Astyanax mexicanus: one gene and its partners. The main gene of each other region encodes a partner of the protein of the gene in region 2 in a complex. Links are inferred from orthologs where the notes say so. Each region holds a gene or a part of one and is shown on either strand. Other genes may lie near its edges.

Region 1 (3,756 bases), on a different chromosome or scaffold from region 2:
AATGGCCCAAAATGAAGTAAAAAACATCTGACTGAGATGCTATACTATGGTAAACAAGATCAGAAATTTTTTTTGAACCTTCAAAGTTGTGCACGATTGCAGGGCCTTGGCCAGGAACTGACAATCACTGAAGGTGAACTCGAATAGATTCCATTCAAAGTTCATGCCACACCCTCTCACTCCATAAACCAACTGCAGTTCCTCCAGGTTGGTAAGCTTGTTCAGCAGGATTCTAAAGTCAAAGTGGTCTATTGATGGCCCATCATCGCCCAAATCGCTGGCAGATTCTGAGGCATCATCTTCATTGAACTTTGGTGGTTTTCTGATAGGTGGCAGAAGCTGAGTTATCTTTAGCCTCCTAACATAATTCTGACAGAGTGGCACAACATCCAGCACTGATTTGGGCTCAGTTTGGTCGGGAATGAAAAGTTCAATAATGTTCTCCAGATGACGCTCAAAGAACATGCGTTTCCAGCTGAGGTCATACTCAGAAACATCCCTCTGGCCCCAGCGGTCCTCACAGCAGCGTCTCCAGTAACCCTCATCACTGATCAGATTGGCTGTTAGGCTCAAAGGCAGGAAGGTAGGAAGCTTCTCCAGGACAAAAGCCTTCTGACTAGGCAGGAGCTCATTCAGAATAGGCTTCTCTGAAACATTTTAGAGCACAAATCAACAAATGCTGTAAAACACTGTGAAACATAGTATATACTATATACTAGTCAAAGTACCTGATTAATTATATTATTACTTAAAATCTATCATTAAAAAGTGTGTGAATAATGTCTTAATAGTAGTAGAAAAAGAAGATTACCTTCAAAATGATTCACTATGTGCTGTAGACATAAGTTTTTTAAGGAAGGCACAACAGCAAGAGACCATTCTGGGTCTTCAGCAATAATTCTTCGCATCTTTCGAGGATCTGCAGCAGGATTGAGCATCTTTACTGGTGGGTTAATGCCAGCTGGAGCTTTGCCCATGGACATACTTATGACTGGCATTTCTTTGTTGTCACAATACACAAGGGCTGAAGTCAAGTCTTTAGATGAGTCCTCTCTTCTTGAAAAAGTAGAAAATAATGAGACAAATTTACTCTGGAGATCCCTTTACTTTCCAACAGGCCACTGGAGCACAGATGTATACTGCTGTTTAACCCAGAGAATTCCTTATTTAAAAATCTGCATAACAAAATTTAAAATAATAGAATGGGATTAAGATGTGAACAGTCGGATTGGATTCAGACTTGAATTGGTTGAAAATGTTTGGTTTTAGAAAAACTTTCACAGTCAGAATTGTTCACAGCAGTGGTAAATAAAAGAGTTTAATGCATCTAAAACTTCCTCAGAGAAAGTGGTAACGACAAATGCTTTAAGAAGATTTTGGAGAAAATCCATTCATGGTGGAGGGGTACATGAAAATTGTTATAAAGCACAACTGGCCTCAATAACAGACATTTTAAGATTAAATACGGTTTACCATAATCTTTACCATTACAGTAATTTGTTTTTATTTTTTATATAGTCATGGGGGATGCCTGATTCTTATCATGACACGTGTAATGTAATCAGAGTTGTTGAGTTCCTACAATGAATCATTTCATGCCAAATCCCTCTCAGAATGACTGTTAACATCTCAACCATTTAATTATTCTCTCACACATGGTTGGACAAGTCTTATTTTAAACCCAATTTCCACCAATCTGGGAAACTGAGAAAACTCCTGAGAAACAGCCCTTGAATTTTTTCACTTTGATCTAAATACAGTCTGAAGGACTTTCTGACTCATCACACCCCAGTCTTATCAAAACGACATACATATACAAAATGTGTAAGATCTTTTTTTTTCTTAGCTATATAAATCTCTTCTTTATCTCAGACATATGTTAGTTTTCTATCAACTGTGCATTTCACAGTTTGTCATGAATGATCTTACAGGGAAACACTTTAAAAGAACATTTTAAAAAGTCCTGTAGTAAATTGTAAGTAAATTTCAGTCAATTGTCAGCCATAGACCAAAAATATAACTGCTATATATATAGACCACAATACACAATAGTCACATTATCGACTTAATGGATGTGATCCCAATAATTTTAGCAGTCCTTAATACTGCCCATAACGTTGATCTTAGCAAGAAGAGCCTATTAAAGTGTGTGAGCTGGTATTTGTTTAAACAAAGGTTTTATAGCTAACTTAAATTATTTAAAGTTCCCTGCTCTTTTTAAAGTCTGTTATTATGCTATTATATAATCATTAACTACATCGGTGGTATAAAAGGCACAGAAATGATTCAGCCCTACTGAATCTAGTTACCTAGTTAGGTTAGCTGGGTAAGATAACCTAGGTTAACGTTATTGCTACACAGCAGACTAGAAGGCAAAATGACAGTAAATTGAAGTGAACGTAATGAGTAAACAGAGTACAATACTGTGGAGAATAATGTGTTTAATGTGGGTATTGCTGTGGATATTCCTAAAACAGACACGCTGAAGAAAATCTACTTATTTACCTTCCGTTCTCCAGAGTTCACCGCCAACACAAGAGTCTCCAGTCGTTATGGCGACAAGGAAGCGCTGTGATTGGCTAGTAGTCACAGAGTAGGGGGGACTTAAAAGGACATGTGTACTTTCTTTCTTTAATTTATTTTCTACATTGTAGATTAATGTTAAAGACATGAAAACAATTAAGACAAACATATGGAGTTACGTAGTAAAGAAAAAAAGTACATTTTACAGCTCTGGAAAAAAATAAGAGATCAATTCATTTTCTGTATCAGTTTCTCTGATTTTGCTATTTATAGGTATATGTTTGAGTAAAATTGAACATTGTTGTTTTATTCTATAAACTACGTAAAACATTTTTCCTAAATATCAAATAAAAACATTGTAATTTAGAGCATTTATTTGCAGAACATGAGAAATGGCTGAAATCAGAAATCAATATTTGGTAGAATAACCCTGGTTTTTAATCAGAGTTTTCATGCATCTTGACATTACTTTTGAATAACTTTGTCATTCCTGGTGCAAAAATTCAAGCACTAGTTTTTAAGTGGTTTCTTACATATATATGGACTGTGAACTAAACTTTTTTCCAAACCAGAACACTACAATCTCAAACTACCCCATCAGCCCACCTATATGCAGATATTTACATAAACCTGCAAAGTATCTTTTCTGCATTTTCCATTTTCTATACAAATTCTACTTTATTTATTAATGGACTTTTTAAAATAGTTCAATTGGGGTTTCCCCATCCTGTCTCAGTAAACTTTTAGAATTAAACTGTCTGAACTGTCATATTTGTTTTGAACAAATGAACCTGCTGACTGGGATTGGCTAATTAATGGCCATGCACTGCTGGTACTGTGGACCAATGCACATACATTAAACATTAAAATATTTGAATAGGATTCTATTAATAGCTCTTTTAGCAGCCCACACACAGAGCGTCCCACCAGGAATTGTCCCGGTACTCCCTATGGCCAGTACATCCCTCATCTCAAACCATATACATGAAGAGCAAGTTTTTATTCCAGTTATTCCATTATTTATTTTATCAATATATCATATTCTCATTGTTTAAGTTCCATTAACCCTAAAACAGAACACACTGACCATACATAACATGCTAAACTGTTATTAATCAACACAGTTTTGTTAAGAGCAGGATTTATAGCAGAAAATAAAATGTAGGGAGTAAGATGATTAGGTGTTAAAAAATCATATGTAGCAAAAAAAAAAATAGACAGCCAAATCAATAC
Region 2 (3,756 bases):
CCTTGGATTGGAGCTTTGATGTAATATTCAGTTTCTTCATGGGCATTTATTTACAGAACAGCAAGCTTTATTATTCGACTTAATTATTATAAGCCGTGGCCACGCCTTAGGATCTCATTCCCATGCCTTACTAAGTCGTGGCCACACATTGTTTTATTTTAACATGATGTCACCTCCATACGAGAAGAGTGTCTCTTATAATCTATTTTTACACACACAAAATTAAACAGCAATCTTTATTCTGTTATTGTCTGACACGGTTCCCGCTCCTGATACATCCTTTGTATGTGTGTGTGTGTGTGTGTGTGTGGCCAGTCAGTCATGGATTACATTAGCATTGAGAAAATTCTTAAGGAGTAAACTGATACACTACTACATGACTAATAATCATTTGATTGTTTAAAAGGTTTGTCTTCGGTGCTGAAACATGTTATATTTTTCTGTGTTGTGGAAATTAGTATATTTTTCTGTGTTGTGGAAATTAGTATATTTTGGGTATGAAAATAATTAGACAATTATAAACCCTGCTCAGTTGCTTCATTCATTTTGGACTCATTATACGACATATCATTTTTTGATTACTAAAACACGTGTTACATGATAACCATAAATAATACCAGACTCCTAATAAGGAGAGATTTGAAAATATTTTATTAAGCATAAATATTTTTGAGTTAACATTTAGTATTTATTCTCATATATCGTTTTAGATTTTAGTTGTAATTATTTTCACATGTGCCAAAATGTTTGCACAGTAAACGTGAAATATGTGATTTTAAAAAATAATATTGGTTAAATATGTTTTAAAATCTAACGTACGTGAGCTCGTGAGTATCCACGAGCCAATCCAAGCACAGGAGTGAGCGCCGGAGGGGCGGGCTTTGGGAGAATGCGGCTCGCGGATTGGTTTAGGTGGTGAAGGGCCATGGGCGGGGATTTTGTCGCTTATGGAAACCGAGTATAAACAGTTCCAGCGTTACTGAGGAGTAAAAGGTAAGCGGTTCATACTAACGTAAATATCTCATATAGTAAACCAGAATAGTCTGTATTATATACAGCTTTACTATGTAGTGAAGATTGTAAAACAAGGGTTAGTGTGTGCACGTTTTCTAACTGTCTGTAATCTAAATATATTTAGCTGTGATATTCTGTTTTTTTTGGGTCTCACTCACATTTAACAAATAACGTTACAGCTCTGGAAAAAAAATAAGAGACCACTTCAGTTTCTGAATCAGTTTCTCTGATTTTGCATAGGTTTATGTTTGAGTAAAATGAACATTGTTGTTTTATTCTATAAACTACAGACAACATTTCTCCCAAATTCCAAATAAAAATATTGTCATTTAGACCATTTATTTGCTGAACTGTTTGGATACAAAAATCAAGCAGTTCAGCTTGGTTTGATGGTTTGTGATCATCCATCTTCCTCTTGAGTATATTTCTTAGGTTTTCAATGTGGTAAAATCAAAGAAACTGGTGGTCTTTTATTTTTTTCCAGAGCTGTATAAGTACTGATTTTTACCAGGGCACTTGTATTTATTTAAATTATCAAAACAGTAAAATCTATCTTTCCAAGAGCAGAGCTCTGGTTAAAAACAATATAAGATACATATAAGATACATACATACAGGTACATCTGAAAAAATATAATATTATTGAAAAATTACATTATTTCAGTAATTCAGTTAAAAATGTGACATATATCATAAAGATGCATTACACACAGAGTGATCTATTTTAGGAGTTTTTTTCTTTTGTTGTTGATGATTATGGCTTACAGCCAATGAAACCCCCTGGAAAATGAAATCCTGTGATCTTATTAATTTTACAATGTAAAAAAATATATATAAAAAGAAAGAAAAAAGTGTAATGAGAAGAGGTGTGTTCAAACTTTTGACTAGTACTGTATATAGCAGCAACACATTATCAAAAAGAAATTCAAAGTAAAGTCATTGACATCTATCACACTTGCCTCAGATAAGGTCAATGTTAATAATTCAATAAAAAGAAAGAGACTGGGTGAAACGGACGTCCATGAAAGAGTTCTAAGGCAAAAACCACTGCTGACCAACAAGAACACAAAGAACATTGCTTTGCTTCTTCAGGAGCTGGACAATTGCTATAATTGATGGAACCATGAATCCATGAACCATGATGCTCTCTACCAAAAACTCTAAAGGAGAATGCCTGGCCATCAGTTTGTGACCTTAAGCGTAGGCGTACTTGGGTTGTGCAGCAGGACAATTATCCAAGGCATATCAGTCTACATCTGAATGGCTTAAAAAAAAGTGATGTGGCTTGATTTTAAACAGGCTGTTTATGCTCAAATACCTTCCAGTATGGCTGAATTAAAATAATTCTGCAAAGAACAGTGGGTGAAAAAGATTCATTTATCGCAAATGCTTGATTGCAGTTGATGCCAAGGGTGGCACAGCCAAGTTATTAGATTTGGAGGCAAATACTTTTTCACATAGGGCCAAGTTGGTTTGGATAGATTTTTGCTTTTTATATTTATATATGTTATATTTGTTTTATATTAAAATGTGTTTGTTAATCTGAAAGCTAAACTAAATCTGTAGGGGGCAAATACTATTTCACAGCACCGTATATTCTTCAAAAGGTATGTTTTTCACACAGTTTGGTCTTGCTGTATTTGCACAGTTTTGCTCTTATCTAATGTTTTTCATGCTTGCCATCTGCCAGTTATGTTCAAGAGCTAAAGCAGGTGTGTTAGAAAACATGAAAGCCTGAAAACATGAATCGGTGGGATGGCAGGTCCCCTGGACTGCAGCATGTGCCTTGTTTTCACTCCTTGTAGATGGAGATGCTGCCGGAGGTCGAGCCTGAGCTGGAAGAAGCTGAGCTCCAGGAGGAGGAGGCAGAGCAGGAGGAGGAGGAGGGAGGAGAGGATGGAGGTCTGAGCGAGTTACGGGAACTGGAGGAGACGCTGGCCAAAGTGCAGATAGCCCCCTCAGCAGCCCAACTGTGAGGTTACTATAGTTCGTTGGCGCTTGGTAAACTCTGTGCTTGTGTTAAAGTGAGCCGGTATCATGGTTATGCCACCCCGACTGTTTGCATTACACAATCACTGACTGCAAACATGAAGATGTAATGTCTCATACACGCTGTGCTGAGGGGGAAAACACACTCAGGAAGACCACCCAAACAAAAATCAATAGGCTGTGTATTGAGTATGGGGTTACTAAAGGTCAACATGTGTGTTAAGATAGCAAACAGTGGCTTTAGCATGCTCTTAGCATGTTGTGGTCTTGAGAAAACCATAGGAAGTCCAGATTTCAAGCATGATGAAAACATGGCCTCACATCTGGTGGTCAAGTTAACAACACACCTAATGAGTGTTGCTTTTCTTTAGTAGTCTAATAATAAGTAATATATAGCTGAAAGTAAGATTCTGACAGAATTTTATGTGTTTCCTAATGAAAGAGAAGATCACTCAACCTTTTTACACAGTGATGCTTGCTGTATAAAATCTAGGTCACCAATAAAAAACCTTAAAGCAGAGTGATTCACAAAATCTAAAACAATCCAGAATAAACAACAGTGTTGCTTTATTAATCTTCTTATGCTAATTGGGAAACACATGTTGTTTTGATATAGGAAGCTGCATTTTTGCTTAAGTTTGCCTGTAAGCATGTTAACATGCTGCTTAAAAGTGCATTTTGTTCTATAGCCATATGCCGTAGTATATACTAGTGCATCTCAGAAATTAGAATATCATTGAAAAGTTACTTAATT
Region 3 (3,756 bases), on a different chromosome or scaffold from region 2:
GTTAAGTGTTAAATTCATATTTATTTCGCTTTGTAACTTCAATTGTGGAAAAAGTAGCAAAATGGATGAAAAACCTGAAAAAACAAAATTAAACTTGGTACATCTCTAGTGAATAGTGCAAAGTTTTAAACAAAGTGCTTGACTGTCCCTCACCTCTTTATCCCTGTCCTTTACCGCTGCAGCAGCTTCCTTCTCCAGAGTGGCAAGCACCTTTTGGTTGCTGTTGTGACGCAGAGTGTCTTCCTGCATGCGCTGAATGCGTACCCTCTCCTCCATAGGTGTCATAAATAGCCGCTTTAGTAGGACAACTCTATTGTCCTGTAACCATTCTAACATCTCCTCTACACCTTTTCTATCTTCTTCAATAGATCCTGCCCCTTTTAGCCCCACCTTTGCAGTAGGACAGGCCCTCAGCAGCCGTGAAATGTTCAGTAATGAATCTTGCACTGCTTTAGCAGCTGCTTCCTGTCCTTTGGCTCCAGGGTCCAGGCTCAGGTCCTGGTATGCTTTTGACAGATGCAGGTCCTCAGTGAGGGCCCTGGTCATTTCTGCTCTGAGGCTTACAGAGAGGCTCTCAGGGTGGGTTAATTCAGAGGGCAGCAGGGCCACCAGCTCCATCAAACTGATGCACTCATCCACAACTCCCAAAATGCGCTGTTTTTCCAAAGACACCAGTTTCTTCCTAGATAAGTTTAAAAGTTTTTGTGTTTTTTTATGGGGGGTGACGGAAGAGGGGGTCTCGGTTTGGCGTTCATTAACACAGAGTGCTTCATCTGTCTCTGATGCCATGGACACGAGCAGTTCTAAGAAAAGGATGACATGTCAACAACATTAAAGAAAATGCTTTAACTGTTAGAGAGATAAAATCAGGTGAAAAAAGAAGGGGACCCCATCTAAACATCTGTCTTTTACATCATATTTCAACATATGGACATCTGATCTTCATTTTGCCATACAGAGAGATGGAGGTAATAAAGTTGTGTTAAATTACATATTGTTGCTGTTCAGTGAAAAACATATATCTCCAAAAAAGCAATTTACAATTAAATTACAATTTACAAATGCAATAAACTAAAAATAGACAAAAATGGAGATACTTTGGACAGCCTTACAGTTATGTAGTTTTTACACAGATGTTCTCAAATTGCACCCAATCACCCAATTGGACTCAATCAGAAGTGTCAATCACAATAATTCATAGTAGATCCTATGATTAAGAGCCTGAGATGCCCTGCTGCAGCAAAGCAGCCCCAAACCATGTTTATTTGATGAATTATCAGTGGTTCTGTCATTATTACAAATATTGCGTTATTAAGTTTAAGCCTAAAGTGAAGGGAAGTTTAGAGAAAGATTATAAAACTGAATGTCTTTTTTCTTATGTTTATACAGATTAAACAGCCTGGGGTTTAGCTAACCTGTTAAATAACACTGGGGTGTATAGGGCTGTAACCTTTAGTCAGTATAATCAACAATGTCGATGATTTAATTTTGTCCACTACAAATTTGATTGTCGACTTTTCCCGCATTACACAAACTGCCGGGGACAAAAGCGAGTAGGGTAAATGGCTCACTCACACTGTTTACACTCAACGTGTGTCTCCAAAAGTGCCTAAACACAACAGATTACATATTTAATCACGAAATATCAGAACTTTCCACGTTTAAACAACATATAAACAGTTATATGGCATTTAAATCTTATGTTCAGCTTTTTCTATTGTTTTTAGAGATGGAGAACATGGCAGAAATAATCGCTGACTAATCGTAAAAATTATCATCAGTCAACTACCAAAATAATTATTAGTTGCAGCACCTAGAAAATATGAACAGAACATTGAAAATACAATATTATATTATTATTATTATTATTATTATTATTATTATTATTTGTCTTCATCAGTTTAGGAAAAGACAATAAATATGAATCACAAGGTCAGACACTTTTTCAGAGACTTTAAACACTGAATGGGGTCAGATGACACCACAGTTATAGGAGGGTCAATAATCATGCCTGTACAGCCATTCAACCTAGTTAGCTGAGCAGCCTGTACACAGTTAGGCTGTGGGCTGAAACCAGATGAGAGAGGTCAGGTCAAAGGTGGGAAAACGCTTCAGTCTGTACTCACTGTTGCCGAGCGGTTCCAAAACTCTCTAAAACACTAACTACGCGGTGGCTTGGTTTTTCCCATCAACGTAACGCTGTAATTATAGATCTGCGGCAGTTGAAGTCAGTAAAACTCAGGTAAACTGCTTGTAGACTGGCTCCGCTGCAGTGCTGTGTGTATACACTGGTCGCTATGGCTGGTTGCCATGACAGTTTTAAACACATAGGCTCTTCTGAGTTCATACAGCTCTACAGATATACACACTGCTCTATATAATAATACACAATTATATCAATAAACACTGGATTCAGTCATACACGAACTTTGCATTCTTACTTAAAGAAAAAAGGAGTTATTTTTACCACGGTAAAGTTAGTTTCATTTTTGATATTCGACTTTTCGGCTCTAATAACTTCTGAACGGAGGATGGTAGCCAGCAGATACTTAACGTTACATAATCAGGACAGTACGACCACAGAGAGTGACGCACACCCTTCCTTTTACTGTTTGGGTGAAATTTGCGCAACGCCCTTTTAGCGTTAATACCGAAAAACTAAGCGCACTTTTCCTGTCAGAATAAAATGCATGTACTTCTAGACCACCTCTACATCTGTACACACTCATTTATTTACCTCCAAATCACTTCAGTGCATAAAAATGCCTATTAATGTTCCCACATAAGAATAGATGGCTTTAAGAAAAAAAAAAACACCAATAACGTTAGCTCCATATCCTTAGGGTTCATAAACATCAGAATAACGGGGATGTATACTTTGAGTCATGAGGAAACTTGCACACCCATTAATATTATGCGAAATGCTCAAATTTTTTATTATATTTTATATATTCACAAATTCAATAGCATTTCAGCAACTGTGTCACAGCTAGGTGGCAGCAGACACGCACACCATTTATATTTTGGATACAGTGCCAATTCTAGTGAATATTACATTTTATATATTTAAAAAATCAATAGAATTTAAACCGAATTACACAGAACACTAAAAATAAGTGTGTATGATACAGCTAGGTGTCAGGAAACACACACACACAACCTTCTTAATTTGAAGGTTCAAAACCTTCAAATTAACGTTAATTCAACGTTTTTACTGTTTTTAATGGGATTTTATTGTTAACCGATTCTTATTAGGCAGTATTACATAAATGTTGTTTTATGGTTGTTTTTTCATAATCGACGGTAAAAGAAAAAAGAAAAAACGTTTTTTTTTATGTTCTTTGCCATCAGGGTTGCATGTGTAAAACACGACACGGTAAGAAAAAAAATTGGTTTTACTTACTAGTAATACTATGCTACTACTTTAAGAATATAATTCTTTTTTATTTTTGTTAGTTTTTTTATTTATTCATTTTGTTTGTTCTACTTTACATTTTAAATTACCGGAAAATACCTATGCCATTTATATAAAACAACAAACAAGAAATTCCGAGAAAACATATTGTTAAACGGGACTTTTATTGTGAAAAATATGCCTCAAGTTTGGTCGTCAATGGACTACAAGTGTCGTAAAATGGTTGTCTGTTATTTACGTTTTTGTAAAGTCTGGTGTTTTCCTGTGTCAGTTGTTTGAGAGTGAAGATGGTCACAGTTAGCGGATTAAATCGTAAAAAGCTGGTGTATACTCCCGTGTTA

Evidence for each region.
Region 1: ccdc135 (region 2) and tcte1 share a complex: the UniProt entries of both Homo sapiens proteins name them as parts of the nexin-dynein regulatory complex. The link is inferred for Astyanax mexicanus from reciprocal best matches to the Homo sapiens genes DRC7 and DRC5.
Region 3: ccdc135 (region 2) and iqcd share a complex: the UniProt entries of both Homo sapiens proteins name them as parts of the nexin-dynein regulatory complex. The link is inferred for Astyanax mexicanus from reciprocal best matches to the Homo sapiens genes DRC7 and DRC10.

Annotation. Positions count from the first base shown.
Region 1 is NC_064408.1:85,886,609-85,890,364, forward strand, and holds the start of tcte1 (dynein regulatory complex subunit 5), read right to left. Parts: upstream 2,570-3,756; 5' UTR 2,506-2,569; intron 1,057-2,505; 5' UTR 999-1,056; coding exon 812-998; intron 648-811; coding exon 79-647; intron 1-78. UniProt on the Homo sapiens protein: Component of the nexin-dynein regulatory complex (N-DRC) a key regulator of ciliary/flagellar motility which maintains the alignment and integrity of the distal axoneme and regulates microtubule sliding in motile axonemes.
Region 2 is NC_064417.1:7,192,749-7,196,504, reverse strand, and holds the start of ccdc135 (dynein regulatory complex subunit 7), read left to right. Parts: upstream 1-886; 5' UTR 887-993; intron 994-2,818; coding exon 2,819-2,985; intron 2,986-3,756. UniProt on the Homo sapiens protein: Component of the nexin-dynein regulatory complex (N-DRC) a key regulator of ciliary/flagellar motility which maintains the alignment and integrity of the distal axoneme and regulates microtubule sliding in motile axonemes.
Region 3 is NC_064408.1:34,843,688-34,847,443, forward strand, and holds the start of iqcd (dynein regulatory complex protein 10), read right to left. Parts: upstream 2,812-3,756; 5' UTR 2,468-2,811; intron 2,307-2,467; exon of another isoform or gene 2,127-2,306; intron 1,637-2,126; exon of another isoform or gene 1,576-1,636; intron 804-1,575; 5' UTR 790-803; coding exon 154-789; intron 1-153. UniProt on the Homo sapiens protein: Component of the nexin-dynein regulatory complex (N-DRC), a key regulator of ciliary/flagellar motility which maintains the alignment and integrity of the distal axoneme and regulates microtubule sliding in motile axonemes.